7 linked regions of the Rattus norvegicus genome follow. The protein of the gene in region 7 purifies or fractionates together with the protein of the main gene of each other region. This does not show direct contact. Links are inferred from orthologs where the notes say so. Each region holds a gene or a part of one and is shown on either strand. Other genes may lie near its edges.

Region 1 (4,268 bases), on a different chromosome or scaffold from region 7:
TGCAAACAGGTGGGTAGGCTGCTCGAAGGAACCAGGGATAGTTAGTTATGGGAGCATCAAGTGGGGATTGGAGGCCAAAAACTTGCAGTCTTCAGGAAGAACTGGAGAGTAGAAGAGGAAGAAGTTAGGAAGGTTGAGTATAGTGATACCTTTTATCCTAGCACCCAGGAGGCCAAGGCAGAGGAATCTGAGTTCTAGTCAGGGCTACATAGTGAGACCTTGTGCCTCACCCCACCAAAAGAAGAAAGAAATTAGGAGAATGCAGGGTAAAAGGCCAAGAGAATGATCCCGGGGCTCCAAGGTTCTATGCTGGGGTGGGTTCACGTGGAGCCCTGAGGCTGCCTGACCTTTACCATTCCTTCCTTCTCCACCCTGCCCTCATCAGATCATTGCCAACCATCACATGCAATCTATCTCATTCGCGTCTGGTGGGGATCCGGTGAGTTGGGGAACAGAGAAAAGACGGGTGGGGAAGAAGAAACTAGGGGCTGAAATGATGCTGGCTAGAGGCTGGGAGTGGTGGCCACACAAGAATCCCAGCACTCAAGAGGCAGGATAGCCAGGGCCATGCAGAGTAATCCTTCTTGAAAAACCAAAAGAGGGAGGGAGAAAATACTGGCTAAAGAAGTGGTGCACAAGGATTGTGAAATATGTAAAAAGGACAGAGTTAGTGGGTCAGGAGGTAAACTCTAGCTAACTGGCCTCCTGGATCTGCCCTCCCCAGGACACAGCTGAGTACGTTGCCTATGTTGCCAAAGACCCTGTGAATCAGAGAGGTGAGGCGTGGGGGACAGCACTGGGTGGGACCAATTCTCTGAGAAGCAAGTGATCAGTTATACTCGATAGGGCTATCCTGCTGGGAAGGGCTGGGGTGGGGCTCCTGCCCTCATGTTCTGCTAGCACCCTGCCTCAGTTCACTGGCGTCTCCACTGTGCCCAGCCTGCCATATCCTGGAGTGTCCTGAAGGACTTGCTCAGGACGTCATCAGCACCATCGGGCAGGCCTTTGAGTTGCGCTTCAAACAGTATCTCAGGAATCCACCCAAGCTGGTCACCCCCCATGACAGGTGAGCTGTGGAAGAGGATGAGGCAGCTCTTGAGCCTCAGACTGGGGTTGAGAAGTGGATTTCTTCTCCTGCTTGAGCTACAAGGGGTTCAGAAAAGATGTGACCTATATGACCCTGTTCCTGCTGTGTTAGCTCTCCATTGGCTCATCGGGAAAGACTTGAAGGCCTGCTGCAGGGACACTTTCTATCTTTTGTTTGCCTGAGGTGGAGTTCTAGTCCAGCACCTCTCAGCAGACTGCTTTTTTTTACTGGATAAACATTTAATTTTTATTTATTTATTTATTTTTTTGGTTCTTTTTTTTCGGAGCTGGGGACTGAACCCAGGGCCTTGTGCTTCCTAGGCAAGCGCTCTACCACTGAGCTAAATCCCCAGCCCCCCAACATTTAATTTTTAAGTTCCTCATTTTTGGCCTAGCCCTGTGTTCTTGTACACTTTCACTTTTCTTAAAGATTTATTTTTATTTTATGCATATGTGTAATTTATTGCATATACAAGTGTATGCATTGCCTATGGAAGCCAAAAAAGGGCATTGGATCCCTTAGAAGTGGAATTACAGGTGTTTGTGAGCTGCCATGTGAGTGCTGGGAGCCAAACCTGGGTCCTCTGCAACGTCAGCAGTTTTCTTAACCCCAGAGCACCGTACTCCCCCGTTCATTGTTCTGTGTTTTCCTGCCTCTGACACTCAAATGAGTCTGGATCGTAATCAGGCCTTTAATCCTAGCACTCAGGAAGCAGAGACAGTGGATCTCTGAGTTTGAAGCCAGCCTGGTCTACACAGGGAGTTTCAGGACAGCCAGAGCTACACAGAGAAACACTGTCTCAAAAAACAAACAAAAACAAAAAAAAAAAAGAAAAAAAAAACTAAAAAGAAGGTAAGGAAAAAAGAAAGGGAGTAGGGAGGAAGAAAGAATGAAAGAGAAAGGAAGAAAAAAGAATCTGGTTTAAGAGACTATCTTTTTCTTTTTTTTGTATGTACGTGTGTGTGTGTGCGTGTGTGCGAGTGTGCATGTCTGTGTGGGGCATATGTTGTATGTGTATGTGTAGAGGTCTGAAGTTGATGTCAGGTGTCTTCCTCTGGTGTTTCACACTTTATTGAGGCAGGATCTCTTTCTGATCTGGAGCTCGCTAGATCTAGCTAGCAGCAACCAGATTGGTCTGGATCCTGTCTGCCTCAAGAGTGTTGGGGTTATAGGTGGCCACCATTGGAAAAGTGGTCTGGCTTGCACATGGAACCTGGGGATCTGAATTCTGACCCTCAGACTTTATCAACTGAGCTATGCCCCAGCCCCAGCACCTCTGACCTGAGATCCCCAGGCTGCTTTCTTAAAGTCACAAGAGATAAACAATGTGGCCACCAGGGGCTTTGTATGTGAAATCATTCTGGATGTTCCCTTTGTTTGATAATGCTCCCATCCCTCTCTGTTTGATGGAGCTCCCATCCCTCTCTGTTTGATGGAGCTCCCATCCCTCTCTGTTTGATGGAGCTCCCATCCCTCTTTGGAGGTAGCATAGCTGTCAAAAGTGAGAGTTTTCAATTCAAAACCAAATTAAATCTCAAATCTATCTCCTTTCAGTTGAGAGACCTTGTATGTATCTCTCCAACCCCAATCTTTATTGCAATTTCTTAAATTGTGGAAGGAATACCAGTCTTACAGCACCAAGCCTTAGAGCTGACCACAGTATATGCTGGTATGTGGTCACTGGTTTCCTCCCTCCCTGGGTCTCCTAGCTCCGTATTTACACCTACCTCTTCTCTCGCTCCTTCTTTTTTCAGGATGGCTGGCTTTGATGGCTCAGCTTGGGATGAGGAGGAAGAAGAGCCCCCTGACCATCAGTACTACAATGACTTCCCAGGGAAGGAACCCCCTCTTGGTGGAGTGGTAGATATGAGGCTTCGGGAAGGGGCTGCTCGACCCACTCTGCCCAGTACCCAGATGCCCAGCCACTTGGGAGCTACACTGGTAAGGGGCCAGGGTGGAGATACTTAAGGCCAGGGTGGGAATGGCTGGCTAGGGCCTTGCTCTCACCCAGTTTTCTTTTTTTTTACAGCCAATAGGGCAGCATGTTACAGGAGACCATGAAGTCCGTAAACAGATGCTGCCTCCACCACCGTGCCCAGGTGTGAACACTGCTGATAGAACAGAGAGGAGTACAGAAGGCAGGGCTGGGATTGATGCTGTCTTTTTTTATCCTTAACAGGCAGAGAACTCTTCGATGATCCTTCCTATGTCAACATCCAGAATCTAGACAAGGCCCGGCAAGCTGGTGGTGGGGCTGGACCCCCAAATCCTTCTGTTAATGGCAGTGCACCCCGAGACCTCTTTGACATGAGTGAGTGAGTCTCTTGTAGCCCCACCTTCTGTTGTTTCTTCTTTTCTGCCTGTTGTCTCCTGTCTGGCTTCCCCACTGAGCCTGGGTCTTGGGTGTATACTGGGCAAGCTCGCTCTCCTAGCCATCTCTACACCCCTAGAGCCCTTCGAAGATGCACTCCGGGTGCCGCCAGCTCCCCAGTCCATGTCCATGGCTGAGCAGCTCCAAGGGGAGTCCTGGTTTCATGGGAAACTCAGCCGGCGGGAGGCTGAGGCGCTGCTGCAGCTCAACGGTGACTTCTTGGTGCGAGAGAGTACAACCACACCTGGCCAGTACGTGCTCACTGGTCTGCAGAGTGGGCAGCCCAAGCACTTGCTTCTGGTGGACCCTGAAGGTGTGGTAAGTGTGACAGGTATGGGAGGGGGTGGTAAGGAAAGGTACCTTGCCCTCTCCTTATTGCTTTCTAGGCTTTCTTCAATAGAGACTTTCTGGGGGCCTCCTTTGCTCTGCTAGCTACTTGCATCAGCCTGCAGTGGCTCAAAGTTCCTTCCCTGCTGTCCTTGAGTCTGAGCTGTATTTTTTTCAGTTCTGACCAGACCTCAAATCCCAGTGAAGGGGTTGGGGATTTAGCTCAGTGGTAGAGCGCTTGCCTAGCAAGCTCAAGGCCCTGGGTTCGGTCCTCAGCTCCGGGAAAAAAAAAAAATCCCAGTGAAACCTACCTGACCTACAGAGTGTTTACTTGATCTGAACCCTCTTTACTAAGTGAGGAAATGACACTGGAAAGGTAGTGATGCCCCGTGTCAGATGGTTAGGGGGTAGAGACTCCAAATTTCCTCTCGTAAGAGGAGTCCGGAATCTCTGGATGGAGCCCCTTAGCCTCACACTCAGTGT
Region 2 (3,823 bases), on a different chromosome or scaffold from region 7:
CAAGAGTATTAGCCCCATTTGCAGTCTGGCTGAACCCTCTATCTGCTTCTTGATTTAACAAGACGCTCACAAGCCATGTTGCAAGTTCCCACTGCCAGGAACAAAGCCAATATCCAGACCTTCCAGGATAGACAGACTGTCCCCTCTAAAGTGCAACTCAAAAGAAATCTCCCCTCCCTTGCTTCTGTAAGACATATGGTGGCAATCACAAGAAGAGTAATTAATGTCCGGATGTATTTAAGTGCTTTCTACATCTCAGAGGGTTATCTGAGTAAAAGGGAGGGACGCTAAAAGTAGTAATTCTCGTGGTTAGGGAATCTTTCTTCTACTATAACTTGCTTTGAATCATTTCTTTATGCCTATTCCAGAATGAGTGAAGAAAGTCTACTCTACTTGAGTAGTCATATCCACAGAGTAGAAACAGAAATTATCATGCCCACATTAAATGTGAGGGTGCTGTAGCCAGACGTAGTGGGTCACACCTTTAGTACAACCCCCTAGAGGCAGATACAGGCCGATCTCTGTGACCTCAAAGGCAGCCTGGTTTACATAGAGTTCCAGGCCAGCTATGACTAGGCAGTTAACTCCTGTCTGTGGGCATTTGATACTGAAAAAAAAAGTTTCGGATATATTTTTTTTTTTCCCGGAGCTGGGGACCGAACCCAGGGCCTTGCACTTGCTAGGCAAACGCTCTACCACTGAGCTAAATCCCCAATCCCTCGGATATATTTAATTTGATGCTATCCTTATGCTCTAGAATTTTCTTTAATACAAAGGTACTGGGGTAACATACACACACTTTTCCTTAAAACAGTCAGATCTATAGCATATGTTAAAAAAATCATAATTTGACTTTCTATACTCAGATGGGGCAATATTTAATTCTTCCGTAAGACAGATACAAGGAAAAGAAACCCAGTAGCTACAAAGAGAAAGATTTAAACATTTAATGACTTGAATATACAAAATGTCAATCATCATTACGAATTGAATAGTTTGTTTTTTTACAATGTGGAATGTCATTACTCAGGTTAGGACAAGGTAGCCATCACTCAACAGACACACGTTGTGTAGTAAGATCTACAAGGATACCTTGACTTTTTGCAATGGCACTAATGCTGCAGGACCCTCTTCCTCCACATGCCAGACACAGTGAATTGCTGTCCAATAGTCCAGCTGTTTATCTTCTGGCAGTGCAGAACTTTGAGAATTACAGCTATAGTTTGTTTTGAAAAGCACCCTTCCTTTGCTATCTTCCACTTACTTAAAAAAAAACAAAACAAAACAAAACAAAAAAAAAACAACTGAGATCACATGTTCTTCTTAAGTCCCTCCTTGTTTTTGTCATTTGGTTGCTTAAAACAAATAACATTAACTCAGTCAAGACATATCCATAACAAATAAAAACACGTTTCTGAATAGGCTGGAATGAAATAGAACAGAGGCTACAAGAAACATATTTCTTGAGTTGGTCATAATGGAAGAGGGAAGTGCTTTATCTGCCGATGATGAATCTGTTCTGAGCTGTATCTACACAGCAGGTGTGAAGGGAAAGACCACAGGATCAATGCTGTGAGTAGCTTACAGGTAATGTGACTTATCCACAAGGTCCATGGCCACAATGGGTTGTGAAGGTCAGATCTCTGCAGCTTTTTTGAGTGTTGGTCTGCTTATGTAAGGTTTTAGAATGGTGTAGAACATTGCTCCATCAAGCAATGAGAGAGGACAGCGCCTGGTGGCTCCATAGTTCAGTGACTAAGAAACTGGCCATTTTCATTAGATAATGAGGGTAGAGAGGTCTTTATTTAACTACTGGCTGTTGGAAACATCCCTTCTTTTTGCCCACAATCACAGTTCTGATGTATCTTCATGAATTCTTGTTGCAATTTTTTTTTTTTAAATTCAACTCTAAAAACATCCATTAGAAAACCTCATGACTGAATCACTCACAAATGTAGCCCCAGGGAAACAAATGTTCTCTCTTTATTATAGTTTCTCTCAGAACTGAAATAACTCAATAACCACTGTAGACATGGCCTCTTAGTACAGCACACATGTCTTGCCTTTCTCTAGCACCTGAAACACTGGATCTTAGGTTAATGTTTTTTTTTTTAATCTCTCTCTCTCTCTCTCTCTCTCTCTCTCTCTCTCTCTCTCTCTCTCTCTCTCTCCTCACCCCCTTTCAACTAGAAGTTGGTCAGATTTACCACTGTGTTAAAGACAAGTCAAGTTTAAAAGAGATTTCAGACAAGAAAGTTGGGTGTGCTGGGCTCAGACTACTACTACTACACGTAGAGTAATATTACAACTAAGTAGTATAATTTTTCTACAAAACCCAAACAATGCAGCATTAGGTGCTTACTAAGGTGCTTCTCAATTCATGGTTTTAATGGACTGTATCAGACACACATCTATAAACAAATACGGATACGTAGGCATACACAAATGTGGACACATTTCTGTACAACTTATGTCTTAGATACTTATATGTTTATATAAGAACCACACAGGGGAAACAAAATGAATTCCCACTTCAGCTCCCTGAATTGATGAAAATCGACTAACTCACAAAACATTAAAACATTTCAATTTCATATAAAATATCTACAAAAATAGATAACATTTACAAAAACTAGATAGTATTTCCAGTTTTCCTTAGTAATTATTCAACCAGTCCTTTCTACTTCCGTGTCTTCTCAGAAGGTGGCCATCTCCAGCAAGGAACGCTTGAACAGTTGAGCATTTCTGGACAGGTCTGTTACTTGGTGCACCATTTCCTGTAAAGCCGTAGTGCTCGGGTAGTGGAGGGCGGCCATCTTGGTCGCCATCACAATCGTCTTGAGCTGTTCGCAGAGCTGGTTGCTGGAGTTCCTGACTTTGTTGCGAATGTCCTGGGCGGCCACCTGCCTTGTCAGAGTGTCTCCAATGAACACCAGTTTGTGTGCACTGAGAATGACAAACTTGCTGTGCGCCACAAAGATCCGCGGGGGCTGGGCTGAGCTGACGCAGCTGAAGAGGGCGTCAATGGCATTGAGGAGGGAGATGAAATGGGTCTCGCATTGGTCATAGTAGAAGCAAAGCAATTGCCTATCCTGAGCACCCACACTGTTGTTTGTGGTTGGGAGGCTCTGAGAGGGTTTCCATTTGGAAATGTCATTCTCCACGGGCTTGGTGATTTCTTGTTCTAACAGCTGGAACTGACTCAGCTAGAAGGAAGAGAACAGATCTCATTAAGGGCAAGGCATACATTGTAAAGGGAAAGAAATGTGGGTGTGAGATCACAAGAAACCAGCTTCATCTTTAGTAGGTGCTAGGTACTTAGTAGCTGTGAGACCTTGCCCAGATTGCCTTGCTTCCTAAATTGTACAATGTAGACTCTGAGAAGAGGATCTCTAGAGGATCGTCCAACATAGATCTTTTGTTATAACACCATTTGTCTTTTTTTTGCATTCCAACTGGAAGGCATTGGCTTCTATACCATTATGACAAATACTATTATTCACAAAGCGAATATTACTATTAGTCACACAGTGTTTGAAACAGTGTTTGGTGAATTATAGGCTATGTAAATGTTTTTTAAATGTTGAGAGGCGTCAAGGGAAAACCAGACACAGTGACCTTTCTGTCAAATCAACAATTTGCTACTTCCTGGGCAAGGCCCTTCCTCTCTTCAAGATGGAAAGGTCATGAAGACACTCCTATTTGTCAAGGATTTGTCTCCTATATTGTCAAGATGTATGATAACATTATGGTCCATTACTACTGAGAAGTCTTAGAAATGCACACTTACTTAGGGAAAATGACACAAAAAAGACCTCTCGAC
Region 3 (4,663 bases), on a different chromosome or scaffold from region 7:
TGCAAATATCTTATTAACAGACCATGGTGATGTAAAGTTAGGTATGTTATTTTGAGTTCTTAATTTTTTATCAAGAAAATTAAATGATATTTAAGTTTGAATAGGTTTATATATATATAATGTATATATATATATAATCATAATGATGATTACCTGTGATACCTATTTTATTCCTAAAGGAGAAAACTCTCCTGAACTTCAGAAAATCTCTTAGGTGAAGAAAGTCCTATTCATAAAGCTATCAGTCTTGTTACTTATGGTAGAAAAATACAAACCCATGGAATACTTTCCAGCAAATCATAAATATTTATGAAAATATGTGAGTAATCTGGTATATTAAATAGCAACAATGAACTAAATAGTATATTTAATTTTTATGACTATCTTAGATAGGGTTTCATTGCTATTAACAGACACCATGACCAAGGCAACTCTTATAAAGGAAAACATTTAACCTGCAACCTAGCTTTCAGGTTCAGAGGTTCTGTTCATTATTGTCAAGGCAGGAACATGGCAGCATCCAGGCAAACGAGGACCTGGAGGAGCCAAAAGTTGTACATCTTGATCCAAAGACAGACAGGAGAAGACTGGCTCCCCTGAGGCTAAGAGGAGGGTCTCAAGGTCCGCCCGCACAGTGACACACTTCCTCCAACAAGGCCACACCTACTAATAGTGCTACTTACTGGGCCAAGCATATTCAAACTTCCACAATTACCGTGTTTAATAACAAATATAAAATTTTATGTACATAAGAAAATATTCTAAAAAGTAGCAACAAAGTAATAACCTTGTACTGTTTTAGAATTCAGGTGTATGTTTTCTGCATGTTTTTAGTTTTGTCATTTTCCCCCCAATTAACTTCTTTGTGCTTGTAATTAAAATAATTTAATTAGCCTAATACAATACATTTTTCATTCTAATAAAATTTTAGGAAATTGTCTTTTAATGAATATGTCACAAACCAAGTAAGGGCAGATCTTAGTACTAAATTTATGCACAGTTCTTGACATTAATACCTAAAATATTAATGATGCTGTGCCAAAGGTGAAACTTAAAAATGCTAGTTGTGTCAAAAAGAACTCAACCGATTTTCTGCTCTTTTTCCCTTGCCAGCTGATTTTGGTGTGGCTGCAAAGATCACAGCTACCATTGCAAAGAGGAAGTCCTTCATCGGCACCCCTTACTGGTGAGGCCATATTGCCATAGTCCTTTGTCATTTCTTCATGCTTTGCACTGAACCCTAATTCTTGCTTTTTAACTGTTTATTGCTTCTCTGTGAGTTTCACATCATGCACCTCAGTATCACTCATGTCCCCGTCCCCTCATACCTGCCCTTAACCCATGCAACCTCCCTCCCTAAAACAAAAAAATCCACAAACAGGCACAGAAGACAACTCATTGTGGAAGCTATAGTGTGTCACAGTGTGTCCCACAGTACATTCCTCCATCCACACATCTTCACTTGCAGATCTGAACCTTAATTCTTGATAATACAAATGACCACCAATGGCCAAGAGACCTGAGTGCTACTGGATACTTTCCTGGGCTTGATTGTGCTATGGGACTTTGATTCTTCATAGCATCCAGCACGATGAAGGTCTATGTAGAAAAATGGAGTTCTCAAAAGAAAGACTTCTTGTATCTCTTCCAATCTTCGGTTTTAATCAAGGACTATACTTCCCGTTGTTAAAACCTACACATCTGATGCTGGTGTCCCGCAGCCCCACATGTGTGGTGTGGCCTGGTGACTACCACAGTAATTTCTCTAAAACACTGCCAATCTTCTGTTGAGGTATAATAGAAGACCTCACATTAAACATTGAGTGTGAGCCTAACATGTGCCTGTAATCTCAGAATTCGGGAGGCTGACACAAGAGGACTGCTGTGAATTTGAGGGTAACCTGGGCTGTGAGACCCTGACTCAAAAGAAAAAAAAAGGCAACAGAATCGCTTAATATTTAAAATAGTGCAGTGAACACCATAGCAGACAACATTCAAAGTTTGCGTTAAATGTTGGGTTTGTTTGTATATGGTGTTTGGCTAATTTATTATTTTGAAAGTAATTTAAAGTAATTCTATACCTTATAAATAATGCCAAAATAAATTGTGTAAGGGGATTGGAGAGGTGGTTCAGTGATTAGTAGCACTGGATGCTCTTCCAGAGGATAGAGTTAAATATGAAAGTAAAATAGAGCTGGGCATGGTGCCGCACAGTCTGTGAGTGTTAGGCCAGCCTGGACACAGCCAGTCAGCATTACATAGTCTCAATGTGCCCATATGTCCCCTGGGTAGTGTCACCTACACCTCATGTGATCACCGTGTGTTTTGAGGTTTTTGGATTTTGTTTTGTGCGGGGAGGGGGGTATGGGTGGTGATTATTGAGACATGATATTCTTTGTAGCTCTGGTTGCCCTGGAACTCGAGATAACTCCTGCTTCAGCCTCCCAAGGGCTATAGTTACAGGGGATTGCTACCACACCTCTGCCTGCCTGGTTTCACTCCTCTCACTGTGTTTCACGGTGCCGTGAGTTTTTGATTAAGCTGCCTCCATAATTATGTCTTTCAGTGGGTCCACCCCATTTTCACAAGGAATTCTGAATTCACTTGTATAAAAGTTAGGTGGTTCTTATCTGGACCCTACCTTGGCAGTTTGTTTTCAATGTAGTTTCCAGACTCCCTGAGCCCTGAGTTGTGAAGATGTTTTTTTAATTTCAGACCAGATTTACACTTTTGTAAAATGAATTACTAAAATTTAGTAATGTGTTTACACAAGAGAGGGCTCCTCTGTTTCTGTACTCGTCCCAAACAGTAACAGGCTGTGTGTGGCTCTTCCCAGGTCTGCGTCACAGGTGAGTCCCACTGTGCCCTCCACTCTCCACAGCCCCCTGCATTTGCTGGGGTTTCCTCTGATGTGTGCAGGCACACCTTACCCTCAGCTTCCTGCTGGCTTTTTCTCGAGGTTTCCCCTCCTCTGGGATCATTGGCCTGCAGGTGTTAGCATTCCTTAACACAGACTGGAGTAGAGCAACAGTGTTCTTGGAGCGCAGGATTCAGAAGAGGAAGGGAGGATTTTTAAATAGGGAATTTTCCTTAATTTTTAATTTTTTATGGTTTTTGGTGTGTGCGTGTGTGTATTTTGCCTGCATGTACATGAGTATACCACATGTGTGCCCATGGAGGTCAGAAGAAAGCCTCAGATCCCCTGGAGCTGGGGTGCTGGCGAATCCCTATGCAACCAGTGCACCTAGCCACTGAGCCATCTCTAGCCACCAGAAATGAAATAGGGGAATGGGGCAGGGTGGTAAGGCTTCGTTCCTTCTTCCATCTATGAACATAACAAAGAGTATCGTGTTTTACATCATTTAAGAAAATAACAAGTGCTGTGCTCACTGATCCGTCTAGGATGGCTCCAGAGGTGGCAGCGGTGGAAAAGAATGGCGGCTACAACCAGCTCTGTGATATCTGGGCAGTCGGGATAACAGCCATCGAGCTTGGAGAACTTCAGCCGCCTATGTTTGACCTTCATCCAATGAGGTGTTCTCATTATTTACAGCACGTTGGGGATGAACTGCTGATTCCTCGGGGTTCCGAGCTCGTTTTCACGTGTATCGCACTAGTAAAGTACTGTAAGGGCTCAGAACTAATGTCGTGTAACCTGCTCGGGTCTGGGGAGCTGCCTCACTGTGGAGGCTGCTTTCTACACAACTATAGACCTATGCTCGGAACCCTAGCACCCTTATAAAAGCTGGGGTGTCGGGGACAGGCAGATCCCCAGAGTTTTACTGGGCAGCCTTTCTAGACAAAACAAAGCTCCGGGGTTCTGTGAGAGACCCTGTCTCCCAAAATAAGATGAAGAAGAGTAAAGGAAGACAGCCCTCTGCACACATGGGCAGGGCGAGCACGCTCTCATTCATTGCACACAGGTGAAAGGTAAACACTGCACACATGGGCAGGGGCGAACACTCACACATATACACTGCACATACATTCATGGGCAAGTTCTCCTTCCTCTCTCAAAGGTGAATTCATAGAGCACTCTTGTAGGTTAGCTTGTAAACAGTAAGATAGTATAAGAATTTATTGTCCAAATAATATCAGGAAATGGATATAATTTGCCAGAGTAATTATAAATGCTAGGCTTTGCTTAAACCTAAAACTTAATTTTAAAGTAATGTGTCAGTGCTGTGTAATAAGCAAATACACAATTACATAAATATGCCTGCACTGTACTATGAGCTGTACAGGTAACTGTGGTAAGGAAGTGTACATTTTACGGCCTTATTTTGTGAATAAGGCCCTGTTTGACATTAAAGATCTTTTTTAAAGCTAGCAGAAGTATTCTAGAACCTTCCCAAAACATGAAAAAAGCCAAGGACTGCAGCAGAAGTGCTTGTCTGGCTTGTGCAAAGTCCAGGGTTTGACCGGCGGGGTCGTCAAAAAACAAAACATAAATATCAAAAAATTCCATGTCCGGGCTGGAGAGATGGGTCAGCAGTTAAGAGCACTGACTACTGTTTCAGAGGTCCTGAGTTCAATTCCCAGCAACTACATGGGATCCTGTGCCCTCTTCTGGTGTGTCTGAAGACAGCTACAGAGTACTCATACAAATAAAAATGAATAAATCTTTTAAAAAAAAATTCTATGTCCAAAGCAATGTCTTCAG
Region 4 (3,530 bases), on a different chromosome or scaffold from region 7:
TGGACAGTTAGAGGGACAGCCACAAGCCAGGACAGATATTACCAGTAAACGTCTGAGGGACAGAGGGGCTGGGGACGAGTCTAGCAGAGATTAACAGTCTCCTAAGTGTGGATAGCATACTTGACAGTTACGCTTTAACAAGTTCCTCTTCGATCATGTTCATGACGTCAAAGTTTTTGTTTGAAGGCAACACCACCACATTTTATTTGTGAGTAGGGGTAGGTAGGGAATGTTCCTAAAATTGGCATAATTATTCTTAAAACAATAACAATAACAACAAGTACCTCTTTGGTGAAGCCTCGGTACCCACTCGGTTCACTGTAGTAATCTGTAAACAGGACTGCGGTACAGTGCTGGGCCTTGGTTCCCACAAGGCCAGGCACCACAGCCTTTCTCACAGTCCTCTGAATGACTTGTATGAAAACATTCTAAAGCAGAAGAGTAAAGCAAAGGAAAACAAAGGAGGAGGAGATCCCTGTTTAAGAGTTTTTAAAAGTGCATAATATTTTGAATTACAAAGACTGTCAACATATGGGCCTGTTGGACACGAGACCGTTTTCCATCCCTTCACAATGAGGAGGGCTCCTGCCTATTGGCCAGGAAAGTCCCCCCCTCCCCGTGGTGTCCAGGTGCAGTCAGACGTCCAGCTCCTCTAGATCAGTCTCACCCTCTAAGCTGGAATACCATCTCACCTCATAGTTACGTGTAGGTTAAAATCATTGTCTTACTACATGTTGAAGTAGAGTCGTTAGTGTTTGGAGTTCTCCTTGTAACTCCTCAGTGCTGGCATGTTCAGTGCATCCATTGCCAGCAATGGATTTGGGTTGGGAACTGGGTCCCAGTTTAGAGGAACTCAGGAAGAATGGGCATTCTCCAGCAGTGGCGGTCCATCTCTGTGCATGGATGGGTGTGTGTGCTCCCTTTTGTAAGTTTTTGGAGGGAGTTTGGGGATAAGTTGAGAAGTGCTTTGCCGTGGAGGAACGGGAGGCCCAGCAATGGAATGGAGGTCCACTTCCTGTGTCAGTGGTGGTGATGGCAGATGCCTTCTCGTGCCGTGAGGAGACGGGGTTTGAGGAGGTGGCGGTGTAAAGGGGGATGGGCTGTTTGGGAAGAAGGCATTGCCATGGTCACTCTTTTTGCCCAACGGGGGAGGTTGGAGATGTAATGGCGAGCTTGAGAAAACATCGGGTGTCCTCACAGGTTCTCGTGGTGGTAACAAGGGAGGGCTCTCGGGAGGATCTGATATAGAGGTCCGATCTGATATTGAGTATCGTGGTGAATAGGCTTTCGATGTGGGCTGCCTAGGAGGAATCGCTGGGGGGCTATCCAAGTGCTTAGACATAATCTAACAAACGAAAAAGAACAGAACATGTTAATTTCTTTTGAAGAGCACCATAAATATAGTAAGTTAATTTGGAGTTTGTTAATTTGGAGTTTTCAGACATGCTACTGGCAGAATGTACGGTACAGAATGTGGACTTTTACCAAATATGTTAATCAAGATGGTCTGTCCACACGCAGGGGAAAAAAGAAACTAATTTTGTCAAGATTAGCCAAAAGTTTGTTGGTTACTACTGACTGCCTATCACACAATGCACTAAATTCTAGTTTAGCACAAACTATCCATTTCTTTTTTGCAGTGCTAAAGATTGAAGGCAGTGTCCATATTAGGCAAACAAACTACTATAGCCCTGTTAAGTTTTAAATGTATTAATTAATTAAATGTTTTAAAAGTATTAATGTTTCATGAAATCTACAGGCCTTGACTTATCCTGCTGCTTCTGTTCTCTAGGTTGCTTAAGACCAAATAGAATTATTGAATAACTTGCAAAATAAACAATAAAAGGGGGAAATTTAAACAGGCAGGAAGTCTCATTACTATATGTCTTTAGGATCTAAATTAAAATCTAACCTAAAATTGAAATCTCTCCCTATCTGGCTCAGATCAGAGAGTAACTTTCAGCAGATACTCAGTACAGATGCATTTATCATATTCCTTCACACACGCGCACATACACCCCCACACCTTCCCCCCAAGTGCACACACACCCCCACCTCCCCCACACGCGCACACACACCCCTACAACTCCCCCACACCTCCCCCACACGCGCACACACATTCGGGTCATTTTAAAAGAACTGCACGAAGGCTGAAGAGATGGCTCAGCTGTTGAAGACGAGGTTCACAAGCAAAATATAAAGAACCACACTAAGCCAAGTTACTGTTCACCACCTGATAGATAAGACTTGGTTTTTTTTCTCTTGGTAATGCTCATAGCTTTAAAAACTTATAGGGGTTTGCATGCATGCCCAAACTGCCTTTATAAGAAAAGACATAAACATCTTGCATGATAAATTTATACTTAATATTTGAACTGTTAAACCTAAGTGCTCTGAGACACTAGCCTATTCCAGCAAGAGGGAGAACTGACAGTAACAGCTGACACAGCCACATCTACATAACCGGTGCTTGGCTTTACCTTGGATGGGGAGGATTCCGCTGGGGCAGACTCTGGTCGTCTTCGAGGGGGGACAGGAGGAGGGACAGGCACTTCCTCGGTGCCCTTGGATAAACTTATAGATGAGACTGAAGCAGATCCTGTAAGGGTTAATTTAAAAGAGAAAAAAATTATGGAACTTCCATTTATTACTCTTGAAAGGACTTAGATGGAAATGGTACTGACTAAAGAAACGTGCTGAACTATCAAAAGCAGTTTAATAAACCAATACCCAATACTATTCCATTCATTAAAATAAACTGCTATAAAACCATGCAGAAATTTCTTAACAATCTTTTTTTAAAAGAAAAAGCTGCCTAAAATAATGGTTTTTTGGAGGGGATTTTTGTTTCTTTTTGCACTTTTTGAACAAAATAGTACTACCATTGTTAATCTATAGTTGGAATTTTTAATTGGGTTAATGTTCAGATTTCTGTTGGAAAGGTAATTTGAAAAAAATCTTTGAAATGGTCTTTTTTTTTTTTCCTTTAGTTTTATATTGTTCCCAGGGTACCGTGCCCAGACTAGATAGTTTCTAGGGATAGTCTCTGATCTTGGCAGGGCTATCTCTCTTATATAACACAAAGGAGAGAATCTGCTGCTTCCTGAAGCCTATTCACAGTTTGCTTGGGTCCAGACGCCCTTAGCATGTAAACAAGATCAGAATCATCACATCTAATCCAAAGCTGTTTAGAATGTCTACATAGAAAACCATTTAGAATGTCACAGGGCAGGGGTGCTCTGACAGTGAGAACAGGAACTTTCTAAAATCTAGTGATCCTGTGTAAGACCAAGGTGATGGGATGCAGAGAGGAGTCATTCAGTGGTGAAGGCACAAGAATGAAAGCACAACGCAGGCCCGAATACTTACGCTCTGAGAGACAACTTTGCTACCATTAGTTTATAAACTATAAGACATTAAAAATGTACTTGGCAGGCTTTCTTAATTCCTTTAAGCATTCTAATCCCACTATTAATATAACAGTAGGGAGCGTGAGGAGTGTTCTGTGCACTTATATCCAAATGGCCAAC
Region 5 (3,448 bases), on a different chromosome or scaffold from region 7:
TGATCTAACCTTCTTCCCCACACCCATTCTGTGGCCATTCCCCAGACAGAATTAACTCCTGTCTCTGGAAAGACAGAGGCCCTTTTCCTGTTAGCTGGCTTTCATCTTTGTCCCTCACTAGTGTGGCCGTAATTCTTAGTGGGAGTCACGTGGAAGGAAGAGTGCTCAGTTTACCAGTGCAGGGAGACAGTGGTAGCAGACGTGTGCACGCTTTTTCTACTATAGTGTGAAAGAAGGCTGCATCTAAGATAACAAACAGAAAAAGAGAGATTTCTACAGACAACAAACAGAGGGGACCAGGGAACATTCTGCATTAAATATGTAACCTCATTAAATAATCAACATTCAGATTTACATGGGCAAGGCACCATGAGAGCAATGTGGAGAAGGTATGTCTCAATCTGCAAGCACTGTGGGAAGTGAAGGGCTGGGCCAGCTGACGTGGTCAGTGGTCTTTTTGCCACCAGTTCAGTGCATAATTAGGCGGGAAGTTATGTGTACATGGGCTATATGACTCAAACCCTAGCCTGCTGGGCATGGTGTAGCCATGACTCATGGCTGCCCACTCCACGGTCATTCTGTCTAGGAGAGACAGACTCTGTGGGCAAACTAGGCCTCTTTCCTGGGAGTACGGAGCACTAGCCAGGATCGCAAAGCCATCCTGCATATGCAGCCTCATACATATCGTTCTCCTTAAAAATGCATAATAAAATACATTCTCCTTTTTTGATCCTCTTTGATAAAGGTGAATCACATGAAAGGCTGTTAAAAATGTTAAAAGTCTAGAAGTTTCCAAGGCCACTAAGGTGCCACCCAAATAATACTGCACAGTCAGTCTTGGCTTTAAGCCAATTCTGAGCTGGTGGGCGAGGGCTTCCTGGGTTTCCTCACTGTCAAGGTGTACAGAACTGATCTGTCCACCCCACTACAGGTTGCTTCCCAGAGGCCTATCTCCAGCATGTGCATGCACATAGTAACACATGCTTACACACTTACCATTCAAGTGACTCTTGGGATTTCAAGGTTGAAGTAAACAGAGACTCACAGTTTTGAATAAAACAAGTGTATGAGCGTTCATACACGCACACAGGTGGAAAGGATACTTGACTCTCAGCGCAAGTATGTGCCAAGGGAAGACAAGAATGTTTCTGCAGTTCTCACTCAGGTAAAGTTGCAACATAAACACTGTAATATACAGCTTAAAAATACATACAAAAATTGCACATAATTCACGGGAGAGCACAGGCTTCATGGGGAACAACTCTCAGTCATCCACTGCAGCCATCAGCCTTCCTGTGAGCTGAGCTCCAGGCCCACTGCAGTCTTAGGAGCGACATGCCACTCACTCTGGGAGGCAGTCTTTCTGGAAGAGGCTGGCACTCCAAGGATCAGGTCAGCCATTTTTGTGGCCTTTCCCGTTCCCCTTGCCTTCCAATAGCCGGCTACCAGTTGCTTTCTAAGGTGACGGTAATGCTAAATTGACAACCATTTCATTCAGGGCTGTTGCTAACAGCATTTGGCAGACTAGTTAGTACCAGCTACTGATGGAAGGAAGCTGGCCAATGACTGCTTTCGGGGGAAGAAACTCTGACTCAGGCACCACCAGCCCTGGCTACCATGCTGATAGGTCTGACAGTAATCAAAGAACAGTACTTGAAAGTCTGTTCCCTGAGGGCCCCTGGAGAATTGCACATAAGGACATTATTTCTTCATATCCTGCCCACTATTCATAATCTGTGGACTGTACTCCATCCTGCTGAGGCATTGGTGATACCACCTCTGGTCAGCTTTGTACTGGACCACAAGAAGTGGATAATAAACTCCAACTTTAGCAGGTGGGACAGGGTGAAGGTGAAGGACAGCCAAGCAGTGGCAGTGGGGTTGTCTATGCAGTGTCCAACCTTTGCTAAGAACAAAAATGGAAACAGACCCATGATCTAACGGCTGGGAATCTCTCTCCTCCTTTCATGGTATGGCGGAACAGACGCTAGTCCCCAGTGACTGAAACTCAGCCGAGAAGGATAATGGCATGTCCTCCCAGGAAAGAGGCAGTCACTGAGGAAGAGGAATCTGCTGCAAGAGCATTACTGGGTGACAGCTGAGCTTGGTGACATGTGTACTGCTAGCTAGTTAGTACAGGTGAGCTTCAGAGTTCTGGAAGAGGCGGATGCAGCTTGCTGAGATCATTCCACAGGAGCTGGTCCTTCATGGACGTGCATTTTCATTTTTTTACCCCACATTTGTGAGCCAATTGGGATGACAAATGTTCCAAGGGAAGGCAACGCATGTTTGCACAGTTGAATTCCTGTACAGTAGAGACACTCAGCCGCTCACTCTGTGGAAAGCCATTGGTGACCTTGCTGAAAGAAGCCCTATGTTCCTGGACAAGGGTGGCAGTTGGCTTCTTTTCTTTCCTTGAATTCTGAGTGAGTACCAGGACAGGGAATGAGGACAACATGAAAAAGGTGGCGATATTTAACAATAAAAGCAACGCCCAGGCCACATTAACGGTACTGCAGGATTTTTACAATGTAGCTCAGGGAGTCTGTGGTGGCAAAGGCCAGATACTGAGCACAAAGCCAATCTTCAAGGCTGATGCCCCCCTCTCTGTCCAGGGACTTCTCGGCAAACTTGATCATCAGCAGTGTTCGCTTGATGTCCAGCCAGTTTTGGAGGAGAGCGTTCTTCTGTACTAGGGTTGCCGAGGTGGTGAAGATTTGGAAGAGATCTTCTCGGGGGCCCCAGAGCAGACACTGGAGGATGCCTTTGGCGTCAGAAATGAGGATGCGCTCAGAAGGGTTGGGGTTCAGGAGACAGCTGGCAAGTTGCTGCAGGCCCCAAGAGTACGGGGAGCGGAGAGGGATCCGAGGCAGGTCTGTGCGCGTGTACTCCTTCTCCTTCAGCTCTGGGTTCTCATCAAAAGGGTTGGGCAGGTGCAGCATCTCATAGATGAGGATGCCTGTCTGGAATTCATCACACTTTTTATACTGGGTGGCCGTGATGATCTCTGGGGCAAGGCGGGACTGGTCTCGGAGGATCTGAGGGTCCATCAGATGGCTCTTCTGTTTGGCCTGAGAAAAGTTACTCACAATGAGTCTTGTGGGACAAGCTGAGGTGGGGCAGGGGTCTGCAGGTGAAGGGCACTGGGTGGCTCCCCCAGGTTGGTGCTGGACAAGCAGCAAGTTCTCCAGGCGAAGATCGCAGTGAGTGACGTGGTAGGGCTTGAGGTGCTCAAGACCAGAGCACAGCTGTAAGAGCAGCAGACACACTTGCCTCTCATACAAGTCGGGGCTTTTCCCATGATGTGCCAAAGAGTCTCGCACGAAGTCGGCCACAGTGAGATGGGGAACCTCCCTGGTGATGACCACGACATGGCTTCTTTGCTTCCTGTTTGTGACTTGTTGGTTCTCTTTCTGGGATGACTCTGATTCAGAGCAGGGCTCAGGAT
Region 6 (4,663 bases), on a different chromosome or scaffold from region 7:
ACAAGCTTCTATTCTATGAGCCTGTTGCAAAGATTATATGGTGAACTGGAAGGTTGTCCCTCTTTTTCCCCCTTACAGGTCTTTGGGTGTCCTTAAAGTTATTGCCAGGTGACCTCACACAGGTTCAGAAGAACTTTTCACACCTGGTGGACAGATCAACAGCGATTGCTCGGAAGATGGGCTTTCCAGAAATAATCCTGCCAGGTATGCACTTTGCCCAAGTCTCATTTTGTGCTTCTTTTCCATGGCGGAAGAAAGGATTACCTCAACTCGGACAGTTGAGGCAGTATGGGTCCTTAAGAGGAGGTCTTTCAGGGTTAATGGCATCAAGAAACTGGTGACAGAGTCACAGCACCATCAAGGACTGTTCAGGATGCAGGACCCAAAAAACGCCACTCAGCACCTCAGCATTCTCAGCTCACCCTTTCCCATCCTGCTCTGCAGATGTTTTCCCCAACTTGACTTCCTTCTCGGGGAACAACCCGGTGGCCCAGTTCATAGGAACTAATCCATGACAAAGAGACTTGTGGACAGCTGGTACCACATCACATTTGGAAAGCTCTGGAAAACCAATTTGCCATGTAGCACATTAGAACAGATTTTTCTGAGAGTCAATGGGATCTTTTCTTTCCTTCAGGAAGTCAAGGGGCAGTAGTAGTTTTCCACACGCCCATTACCTGAGAATGAGGGTGTTTTAATGAATACTCAGAATGGATGAATAAACGTTGCTGTAAAGGGGGGCTGCTGTGTCTTCTCAGAAGAGCAGGTTCATCCATCACAAAGCTCTTTTCACTAACTTCAGACACACCAAATTTTGGGGGAAATTATCTTTGGTCCCCATCTGTAGCACAAGACTCCTATAGACTTTAAGCCATCTAGACATCCACTTCATCCATCAAGACTCCTGCCTTCTCTTACACCCCCAATAGATCACCCTCTTCTTTCCTTTTAACCAATTATCTCTTTCTCGGTGTTCAACTGCCTATGAATACACTGCTGGCATTCCTGGGTTGTGTCTCCTCAGGAACCGTGCCCATATCCAGCTAGCTGCATGAACAAGAAACCTGAAAGACACTATTAAAAACCTGCTGGATATCCTAGCAATATCTAATGTATGCTTATTATTAGACATGTATCCTAAATGGGACAAAGAATTGGATCTCTGAGGTGGCTAAGTAGGTTAAAAACTCTTACCATACAACCTGAATGATCTGTAGAACCCACATTAAAAAAAAAAGCCAGGTGTGGTGGCTCATAGCTGCAATCCCAGCAGTCCTACAGCAAGATGAGAGGCAGAGGCAGAAACAGGAGAATCTCTTCAAAGCCTGTGAATGCCGGACAGCAGTAGAAATAGCAAGGGAGACACTGCCTCAATAATAGGTGGAAGGGGAAGACTGACTCCAGAGAAATTATCCTCTGGCCCACAAACTCATGCTGTGGCATATACATGTATGTGTGTGCACACTTATAAAAAAAGGTATTTTTTACAAAAGCATGCACATCAGAGACACCTTGATGTGTAGTGAGAGGTGGACTGAGAGAGCAGTCAAGACTTACGTGGAATCAGCAGGCCATTACCAGCAGACCGTTGTATATTTACATTAGTCCTTGTGTGTTAAATCATGGAACTTTAACTTTGAAGTGAGTTTCTCTCAGCAGCACTCACAGTAGGCTTGTCGTGTTTTAGGGGATGTTCGAAATGATATTTATGTCACCCTGATCCATGGGGAGTTTGATAAGGGGAAGAAGAAGACACCCAAGAATGTGGAGGTGACCATGTCTGTGTTTGATGAGGAAGGCAACCTTTTAGAGGTATGTAGCACTCCCCACAAATCTCATCGCGTCGCACCTGCTCTGTGGTAGCAGCCAAACGCTGGTCCAACTTATTGTCAATTCTCCCCATATGGGGAGGGTCCTTCTTTATCTGGGTTTTTGTTCTTACTTTTATTAGTTTCTGTTTTGTAAGAAAGGGTGTCATTAGGTAGCTGAGGCTGCCTCAAACCTGTGATCCCTCTGCCTCCGGGTGTTGGGATGACAGGCGTGTACCAACATGTTCAATACTTTCTCTTAAGGAAAAAATATATAAAAACTAATAAACCCGTGATTCTCAGTGGCTATTTTTACTCCGGGAGCTACTTAGATATATTTTGATATTTTTCTCTGTGCAGAGAGATATCATGGGCCACTTAAACTTTAGGACCTTTGACATTTTCAAGTGGTATGGCTAATCTCAGCTTGAGCACCATGCAGAGGTGTCCCAAAGGCCTTGACAGGCACACTGCCATCACCTGGGCCAGTGGAGCCCATGGACACCGACTTATCTGAAGGAATACTGTGACACTAAAGGCACCCTTGGTGTAGGATGGCAATGCTGATTTCCAGTGTTAGTCATTGGGAACTTGTACCCAGAGTAGAGTTCTTTCCTCTGGAATTGCAGATGTCAGAGACAGAGTCGAAGAGTTTCTCTGCCTCTGGCAGCTTTCTGGACATCTTGGTTTTGACTTGAGAGAGTTGGGAGGCACCGGGTGGCCACCAGAAGCCTCTGTCACCTCCATCTAATTGCTCTAGATGTACAAGTGAAAGTCTTGGCTCCTGAAGCTCTCTAGATGTCCTGAAGTAATGCTCTCCAAATGTTCGGTCCTTGTTGTCCATAATTCAACCATTATGTTTCTTTAAAAGCAGAAAACTGTACACATTCAGTAAAAACCCTGAAATTCATGGTATGCAGGACTTGGGGCTGAAGGGACCCATGTGGCATTTGTTAACATTAAGTGGCATGACTGCTGGCTAGGAACAGCATACACCTGCTGCCACAGTGTCATCTCGCAGTATAGTGTGGATGGCTGCTGGTAGACTTCTCAAACTCATCATCATCAAAGCCCCTGACTTTGGGTTAATTTTTGGATGATATACATTCAGAGACCTTGTTCTGTTGCCATGTTTTTCATATACTAGATGACCTAGTATCATCTCCTAATTGTGTCTTTCCAATCAAAGAAAGCCATTCATCCTGGAGCTGGGTACGAAGGCGTCTCAGAGTACAAGTCCGTGGTGTATTATCAAGTCAAGCAACCTTGTTGGTACGAGACAGTCAAGGTGAGAATTCTAACTCCTTCAGCTATTGACCCTTGTTTAGATTCCTGTCCGCTTTTTAAACCCCAAGTCAGTCTTCAGATATCTGAAAGTTTCAGATTGTCTGCAGAAAGAAATAAACCGGGGATGGACTGGAATGGGGAATATAATCAAAATGCATCGTGTGAGATTCTCAAAGAACTAATTTTTTTCAAAAGCTGAATCAGCAGTTAGGAGGTCGTTAGAGCATCCATTTTATGAAGCCCAAGATTCTGACAGAGTATTCTTATTCACAAACGTATAGCGACTGGACAAGAAAAACTTGTGGCTATAATAAGGCAGGGGCTGCCAAGATGCTGCAGACAAGCTAAGATGTGCGCACTCCATCATCGGCTTCCCAACATGTTGTTCTTGTTGGCCCCTGTCCAAGTGTTCTGGGCCTCTTCGCTGTAAGGAAGGGTTTCATGAATTGCAGAATGCTTTCAGATCCTGAATCCCCTGTGGGCTCACAGTGGCCTTGAAACTGGACAGTCGGGTATTACTCTGACCTCTTTTTGAAGAGGCAGCAGACCCTAGGAAGAGAAGTGACACCTCAAATCTTGGAGCACCTTGGGGTCAACCTAAAACAGGTCACATCTGAAGTCTGGGCTGCTGTAGCGCCTACTGTCAGCATTGGCAGGGTCCTATGAGTTGTAAGCAGAAAATTCCAGAAACTGAACATTGTCCAAATATCTGTTAGGTAGCGGTTATTTTTCACATCCCTCTGTAGTCTGTGTTTTTTATTGTGCTATTCGTGTGAATTCATATTGTGCTGTTTTTGAAAAACAATTTCTCAATCTGTAAACTCTGGCTGTCCTAGAACTTGCCATAAAGTTCAGCCTTCCTTTGAACTGGCAGAGACTCACCTGCCTCTGCCTCCCAAGCACTGAGACTGAAGGCACAGACCACCGCTCCTGGCTGTGTTGTGGTTTTTAAAGCTACTTGTCTTGGGCATTGTGAGCTCCTCAGAAATACGTTTTCAGTGACTCTAGAGATAACCCTGACTAATAGAGAGACTGGTGCTATTGCCCTGTCTTCCTGTAACTTACTGCACTACCGTCAGAGAATGTCCCCACCCAGGTATCTTCTCTCCTCACACAGATACTAGTAACCACTGTATCTGCAGGTGACTTCCCCTTGGAAGGGTCCGAGGTAGACCTCAAAAATCAGGTCTTATCACTCTGGATGCCAGGCGCATAATGTGTCTTAACTCTGAAACTGTGATAAACAGCAGAGCCATCTCCCTCTGAGACACTTTCAGCTTGGGAGTGGTTATGAGAAGGAAGCCTGCTAGCACAAGGAACTTGTGCTAGGATAAAATATAAAGGCCAAGTCTAAAGTCTCTTTTTCTCTGAATAGCTAAGAGGGAGGATTTTAATATAATCACCCTGAGCCAAGGGTAAAGCAATAGATATGCTAATTATTCTGATTTGAACAGTATAAAACATGCAAAGTCAAGACATCATGCTGTACCATGCAAATGTATATGGTCCAGGATATGCGTGCATTGCAGCTAAAGGAATGACTCCAAATGAGCCTTGCCTTCCGGCTC
Region 7 (5,227 bases):
GGAGAGATGGCTCAGAGGTTGAACACACTGACTATGCTTCCAAAGGTCCTGAGTTCAATTCCCAGCAACCACATGGTGCCTCACTACCATCTATAATGTGATCTAGGCACACTCTTCTGTCATGTAGGCAAAACACTGTACATAATAAATAAATCTTTAAAAAGAAAGAAATTAGCCTGGTCTACACAGAGAGTCCCATGTCAGGACTACAAAAAGATTCTATCTCAAAAAATAAGTGGGATAATGCAACAATCCCTGGCCTGTCTTACCCACATGCCTCTACAGTGTGTGCACACAAGTGTAATCAGTTCTAGGCCAGCCAGAACTACAGTATGTGCATGACTGATGTGAGTCTGTGGAAGTCAGGACAACTCTGAGGTGTTCCTTCTCTTATCCAACCCCGGGATTGAGGATCAAACAAGACCCTCAAGCTGGCAAAGCTGTGCTTTTGCCTACTGAGCCACTCTGCGGGATCTCAGAGCACTCAGATGGCAGAAGCAAGAATTCTCCTGAGTTCAAAGCCAGCCTAGTTTATATGGTTGCAGACCAGCTAGGGCTGCAGAGTGAAACCCTGTTTCAAAACAAAAGAATGGAGTTCCCTATGTGCACCCCAGGGATTCCAAAGCAAATAAACAAAGAATACCAAAATTATACAATAGTCAGTTCTCAGGTCACACTGTCTAGTTCAAATTCTGGTTTATATGCTAAATGTTACAGGTTACTGGATTTCTAGTTCTTCTCCCCACCTCCAAATGAAAATGTTTTAATAAATGGAGATTGCAGAATTTCACTCATTGGATTGTTTTACTGATGGTGAATTATATAAGGCACATTTAGCAAAGCATGTAGCATACAATAGTCAGTCAATAAGTGTAAACTATTAAAATTATATATGTCTCTCTAAAACTCAAGTAATTCCTGTGTGGCTTCAAAAGAAAAACAGTTTAATGGATGGCAGAACAGCGATTAAGTGACCATCATAAAGACAGCAAGTGAATTGAGTGTCCTACAGAGAAAATGGGGAACACGACAGAACAAATTGCCACAAAGCCAATGAACTTTCCACACCTAACCCACAAACTGGCAATCTTCTCCTCTCCTAGGCCAAACACCTATTTTGAAAAGGTGGAGCTACCGAGATATAAAACCACAAGCCTGCCTGATGCTAGTCCCACATTTTCAAACAAGGAGAAAACTGAGGACCGAGTCCCTCACCCCCAGCTATTGGGAATAAAACCTAGCCTCCCCAAATGTCAGGCAAATAAACTACCACTCAACTATATCCCTAGTCACACCCCCTAACATAACTTTTTATTTTGAGGCAGAATCTTGCTAAGTTTCCCAGATGACCTGGAACTTGTAAAATCTTGCCTCAGCCTCCTAGGTGCTGGGATTAAAAGCATGAATTATGAAACTTGGCTGAGAATTGAATTTCAACAATAACATTTCATCTTACTACTGCCCTTAACACAAAACAACAGATTATTTTACAGATAGCACAAAAATAGAATTTACTATGTTTAGGGCAATTGTGTTGTATCTGATTTTATATTATTAAACCAACAGACACAAAAAGACTAAGAAGACTTCAGTACTCAAATTTTCCCCTTACTTGTGTGCCAACACCAAGAACTGTTTATCCCACCTCTACCTCCTCATTTGTGGCCAAAGGGAGTAAGTCTAAATTAGGATGATCCTAAAAGGAGGTCTACTAAACGGCTAACCAGGGAGTCTCCATTCATGAGATTAGCTCAGCTCTAGGAGGAACAAGCTTGCACTTCAAACATCCAGAAAGCAAGAAGCTTGGTGCCAACACACAGAGACAACAGTAATCTCAGAATCACTGTGCATCTCACAAACTTCAAGGACGAAGTGCATGAATTTCCTTAACATTGCCAAGACAACTGCAATAATACAGCTGAGACAATTACAACTCAATGGTCCTCGATGAGGAAAACACAGCGGGATAATTATTCTTGGTGTATCTGCCAGCTAGGTCTGCTCTCATATCCTGGAAGATTTTGACCACAGCACCAACTTAGCAAGAAAAGACCCAGAAGTACGTTGACTGACACTGTTTAAGCCCAGGAAGAATGAAATTCCATTCACTTCCAAGGTTGTTCTCCCTGGCCTATGCTTGGTTTATTTCCTAAAGGAAAAAAAAAACCTTCCTCCACTAATCACTTTGAAACTAGAAACTCTACGTGCAGCGGGCAGTCTTTTGGACACTTAAAACCTCTTGGACACAATTTGCCAGCTAGGCTTCAATTACGCTGGGCTGGTCACAGAAAGCTTTTTTTCTATTACCAAGTCACTTAGTTCACCACCTTCCACAAGGGAAGAGCACGGTAAAAAGATTTTGGAAAAATGCCCAAGAAAGGAAAAAGCTGACCGGCTTCCTGAGGGTGTCTCCATCCCTCCCAGCCAGCCAAGTACGTGGTGACTTCCTACCGAAGGCCACCAGGGGAGTATGGCCAAACCCAGCTCTAACACTGCAGGAAACGTTTCAAGCCTAAAAGCCACTTGTAGGATTAGCAGATCCATTCTGGGCATCTCTGCCAAATGATGTCCCCGCAACATCCCCATTAACTCTTTGTCCCCAAGTTGCCTGGCCCTGCCCTGCCCTGCCCTTGGGCCTGACCCTGGCGCCCAGCCCCACCCCGGGGCCGCAGCAGTTCCCCTTCCCCGGCTCCCAAGGCACACCCAGAGGCCTCGGTGAGCAGCTCCTCCTCCCCCACAATCCCGCTCATCGGTGGGAACCAGCTTGGTCAGAAGGCAGCTCCCCCGCCAGGTTCACTCCAGCCCTCTCTGCCCACGTCCCTCCTGCAGCCGACCAGGGTTCTAGGGCCTTCACCCCCGCCCGGGCCTCCCGCCCGTCTGTCCCTCACCCGGCGGAGGCTGAGCGGGCGACGGAGGCACTGGAGGGCGCGGGCCGCTGCTGTTGATGATGTAGTGGGAGACGCGCGAGTTTTCGGAGACGCTGAGCACATAGTCCCCGGGGCTGGTGCTCGAGTCCCGCACCAGGAAAACCCCGTGCCGCTGGCCCTGCAATAGCGCCACCGCCTCCTGCCGGCTCAAGCGGCCCCAGTACCAGCTACTCCGCTCCTCCGAGTCGAAGTTGCCTGCCATGGCCGCCTCCGCGCCTTCACGCTGGGCCGCCGCCGGCACGCGCGCCCCTCCAGCCCTGGCGCCCGCCGCCCAGCGGACCGGCTCCGGTGTAAGCCTCCCAGCAGCGCCCGAAATGGCGGCGGCAGCCGCGGGCCTTCCCCACCGGAAATGACGCGCTCTCTACCCGAGGGAGGCTGCCGGGAAGGGGACCGCCGCCCGCCATTGGGAGAAGGGAAACGGAGTCCTTGGGGCCCGCAGTGCGCATGCGTCCTCATGGGCGTCGCCGCCCGGTCCAGAACCCCAACGGCGGAGGATGGGGAGGCGGAGTCTAGGTTTAAGGGGCGGAGCCTCAATCTTCAGACTGACTGGTGTTTGACTAACTGGTGTTTGACAGATTGGTAGAGGCGGTCTTTCTCCCAGGACCTACAGGTAGCAGCTCCAGTAAAAGGACTGGAGTAAAAAAGATGATGTGGTCCCAGGATGCCCTCAAAGCTCCCTAACAAGCTGGTCTTTCCCGGTGTTTCCTTCGGTTTCCCCGGAGGTCAGTCGAAGTTCTTGCTATCTAGGAGTAGCCATAGATAACACATTTGCCTTGCAGGTGCAGTACTGACCTAGACTGAGCCTTAAGTCACCGAATTCACAGACCAGTGGGAGGGATCAGGAAACCATTAATGTCTGCTGTGATGGGAAACAGAGACACAAGGAAATCAACTAAGTAATCCTAGAGGAATCCAAGGGCCGGGTAAAGTGACTATGACAGTAATCCCAACCCTTAGGAAACTGAGACAGGAGGATCACTGTGTTTCAGGCCCTATATTATAAAACGAAAGCAAATAAGAACAAGGAGTCCACAGATGAGATGGTGTAGGTTGAATGGTTCGGTGTTGAATGGCAAGTGGGGAAGGGTACTTAAGGCAAAGAAAACAAAATGTCCAGCCAGGCAAAGCAATGGAGTTCTCTCTATGGGAGCTCCCATGTCAACCAGCCAGATCCTTTTAAACTCTCATTTGTAGCCAGAGGAATCTCCTAGTTTCACTTCCTTCATGATCATCATCTATCTCAAAAAAAATTTTTAATGAAAAAATACTGGGGAGTGGGGTGTTCAGGATAGGGTTTCTCTGATAGCTCTTGCTCTCCTGGAACTCACTTTATAGAGCAGGCTGACCTTGAACTCAAAGATCCACCTGCCTCTGCCTCCCCAGTGCTGGGATCAAAGGTATGCACCACCTCTGCCTAGCCACTACTACTGCGTTTTGTATATAGTGAGACCCTGTCTCAAAACAAAACTAAAGTTATCCTTGTCCTAGTCAATAGCTCAGGCCTTCTAGAACTTCCACCCATAGCCTGAGCCAGCCCTGGGAGAGACAGCAGGGGAAAGGGCACCTTCCCTGTTATCAGTGACTCATCTTGGTCTAGCTTAGTCACCGGAACCAGCAGCAGAGGCCATTCAGTGTAAATTCTGGCCCTTTGGGAAAAAGGGCTACCCTTTCTCCCTTTTCAGGACAGCTGAGCTTCAAGGCAAGACCTTAACCAGAGACTCTGGGAAAGTCCAAACCCAGCTCTTAGGATAAGTGAAAAGGAAAGAGAGATTTGTTTTGCTTGCTTGTTTGTTTAAACAAGGTACCACTATGCAGTTCTGGACGGCACATCAGCTTGGCCTCAAACTGGCAGAGACCTGCCTGGCTTTGCCTCCCCAAGAAGAAATATGTATTCATTTACCATTGCATAGTCTTATGTATCTCAGGCTGGCCTCCTTCATGACAGAGCTGTGGATGGCCTTGAACTTCTGATCCTCCTACTGGGATTACTGGTGTGCACCACTATGGCAAAATCTTCTTTGTTTCCCACATTCTTTTATAATTTTTACATTTACTTACTTATGTATTTGTTCATTTGTGTGTGAAGGTCAGAGGACAGTTTGAGGGAATTGGTTCTTTCCTTCTGCCACGTAGGTACCGGGGTTCAAAACTCTGGACCTCAGGCTTGGCAGCAAATCTCTTTACCTGCTGAGCCATCTCACCAGCCCTCCACCTCCTCATTGATTTCATTTCTTTTTTTCTTTTTAGATGGAGGCTCACCTGTTTTGGCCTGGAATTCACTATGTAAACCACACTTGCTA

Evidence for each region.
Region 1: the proteins of Crk (region 7) and Shc1 purify together in Homo sapiens (affinity purification with western blotting; 3 studies listed by BioGRID and IntAct, with this or other methods). This does not show direct contact. The link is inferred for Rattus norvegicus from reciprocal best matches to the Homo sapiens genes CRK and SHC1.
Region 2: the proteins of Crk (region 7) and Nedd9 purify together in Homo sapiens (affinity purification with western blotting; 3 studies listed by BioGRID). This does not show direct contact. The link is inferred for Rattus norvegicus from reciprocal best matches to the Homo sapiens genes CRK and NEDD9.
Region 3: the proteins of Crk (region 7) and Map4k5 purify together in Homo sapiens (affinity purification with mass spectrometry; 4 studies listed by BioGRID and IntAct, with this or other methods). This does not show direct contact. The link is inferred for Rattus norvegicus from reciprocal best matches to the Homo sapiens genes CRK and MAP4K5.
Region 4: the proteins of Crk (region 7) and Sos1 purify together in Homo sapiens (affinity purification with mass spectrometry; 6 studies listed by BioGRID and IntAct, with this or other methods). This does not show direct contact. The link is inferred for Rattus norvegicus from reciprocal best matches to the Homo sapiens genes CRK and SOS1.
Region 5: the proteins of Crk (region 7) and Peak1 purify together in Homo sapiens (affinity purification with mass spectrometry; 4 studies listed by BioGRID and IntAct, with this or other methods). This does not show direct contact. The link is inferred for Rattus norvegicus from reciprocal best matches to the Homo sapiens genes CRK and PEAK1.
Region 6: the proteins of Crk (region 7) and Dock5 purify together in Homo sapiens (affinity purification with mass spectrometry; 3 studies listed by BioGRID and IntAct, with this or other methods). This does not show direct contact. The link is inferred for Rattus norvegicus from reciprocal best matches to the Homo sapiens genes CRK and DOCK5.

The regions. Positions count from the first base shown.
Region 1 is NC_086020.1:177,140,669-177,144,936, forward strand, and holds part of Shc1 (SHC-transforming protein 1), read left to right. Parts: coding exon 1-9; intron 10-385; coding exon 386-439; intron 440-724; coding exon 725-776; intron 777-939; coding exon 940-1,066; intron 1,067-2,841; coding exon 2,842-3,028; intron 3,029-3,116; coding exon 3,117-3,186; intron 3,187-3,266; coding exon 3,267-3,398; intron 3,399-3,537; coding exon 3,538-3,776; intron 3,777-4,268. UniProt on the Homo sapiens protein: Signaling adapter that couples activated growth factor receptors to signaling pathways. Participates in a signaling cascade initiated by activated KIT and KITLG/SCF.
Region 2 is NC_086035.1:23,670,889-23,674,711, reverse strand, and holds the end of Nedd9 (enhancer of filamentation 1), read right to left. Parts: intron 3,207-3,823; coding exon 2,697-3,206; 3' UTR 932-2,696; downstream 1-931. UniProt on the Homo sapiens protein: Scaffolding protein which plays a central coordinating role for tyrosine-kinase-based signaling related to cell adhesion. As a focal adhesion protein, plays a role in embryonic fibroblast migration.
Region 3 is NC_086024.1:94,064,089-94,068,751, reverse strand, and holds part of Map4k5 (mitogen-activated protein kinase kinase kinase kinase 5), read left to right. Parts: coding exon 1-41; intron 42-1,113; coding exon 1,114-1,186; intron 1,187-3,402; coding exon 3,403-3,534; intron 3,535-4,663. UniProt on the Homo sapiens protein: May play a role in the response to environmental stress. Appears to act upstream of the JUN N-terminal pathway.
Region 4 is NC_086024.1:20,358,629-20,362,158, reverse strand, and holds part of Sos1 (son of sevenless homolog 1), read right to left. Parts: intron 2,600-3,530; coding exon 2,481-2,599; intron 1,346-2,480; coding exon 854-1,345; 3' UTR 1-853.
Region 5 is NC_086026.1:65,503,877-65,507,324, forward strand, and holds the end of Peak1 (inactive tyrosine-protein kinase PEAK1), read right to left. Parts: coding exon 2,505-3,448; 3' UTR 1,167-2,504; downstream 1-1,166. UniProt on the Homo sapiens protein: Probable catalytically inactive kinase. Scaffolding protein that regulates the cytoskeleton to control cell spreading and migration by modulating focal adhesion dynamics. Acts as a scaffold for mediating EGFR signaling.
Region 6 is NC_086033.1:46,221,727-46,226,389, reverse strand, and holds part of Dock5 (dedicator of cytokinesis protein 5), read left to right. Parts: intron 1-78; coding exon 79-204; intron 205-1,687; coding exon 1,688-1,812; intron 1,813-2,997; coding exon 2,998-3,096; intron 3,097-4,663. UniProt on the Homo sapiens protein: Guanine nucleotide exchange factor (GEF) for Rho and Rac. GEF proteins activate small GTPases by exchanging bound GDP for free GTP. Along with DOCK1, mediates CRK/CRKL regulation of epithelial and endothelial cell spreading and migration on type IV collagen.
Region 7 is NC_086028.1:61,026,858-61,032,084, reverse strand, and holds the start of Crk (adapter molecule crk), read right to left. Parts: upstream 3,169-5,227; 5' UTR 3,130-3,168; coding exon 2,889-3,129; intron 1-2,888. UniProt on the Homo sapiens protein: Involved in cell branching and adhesion mediated by BCAR1-CRK-RAPGEF1 signaling and activation of RAP1.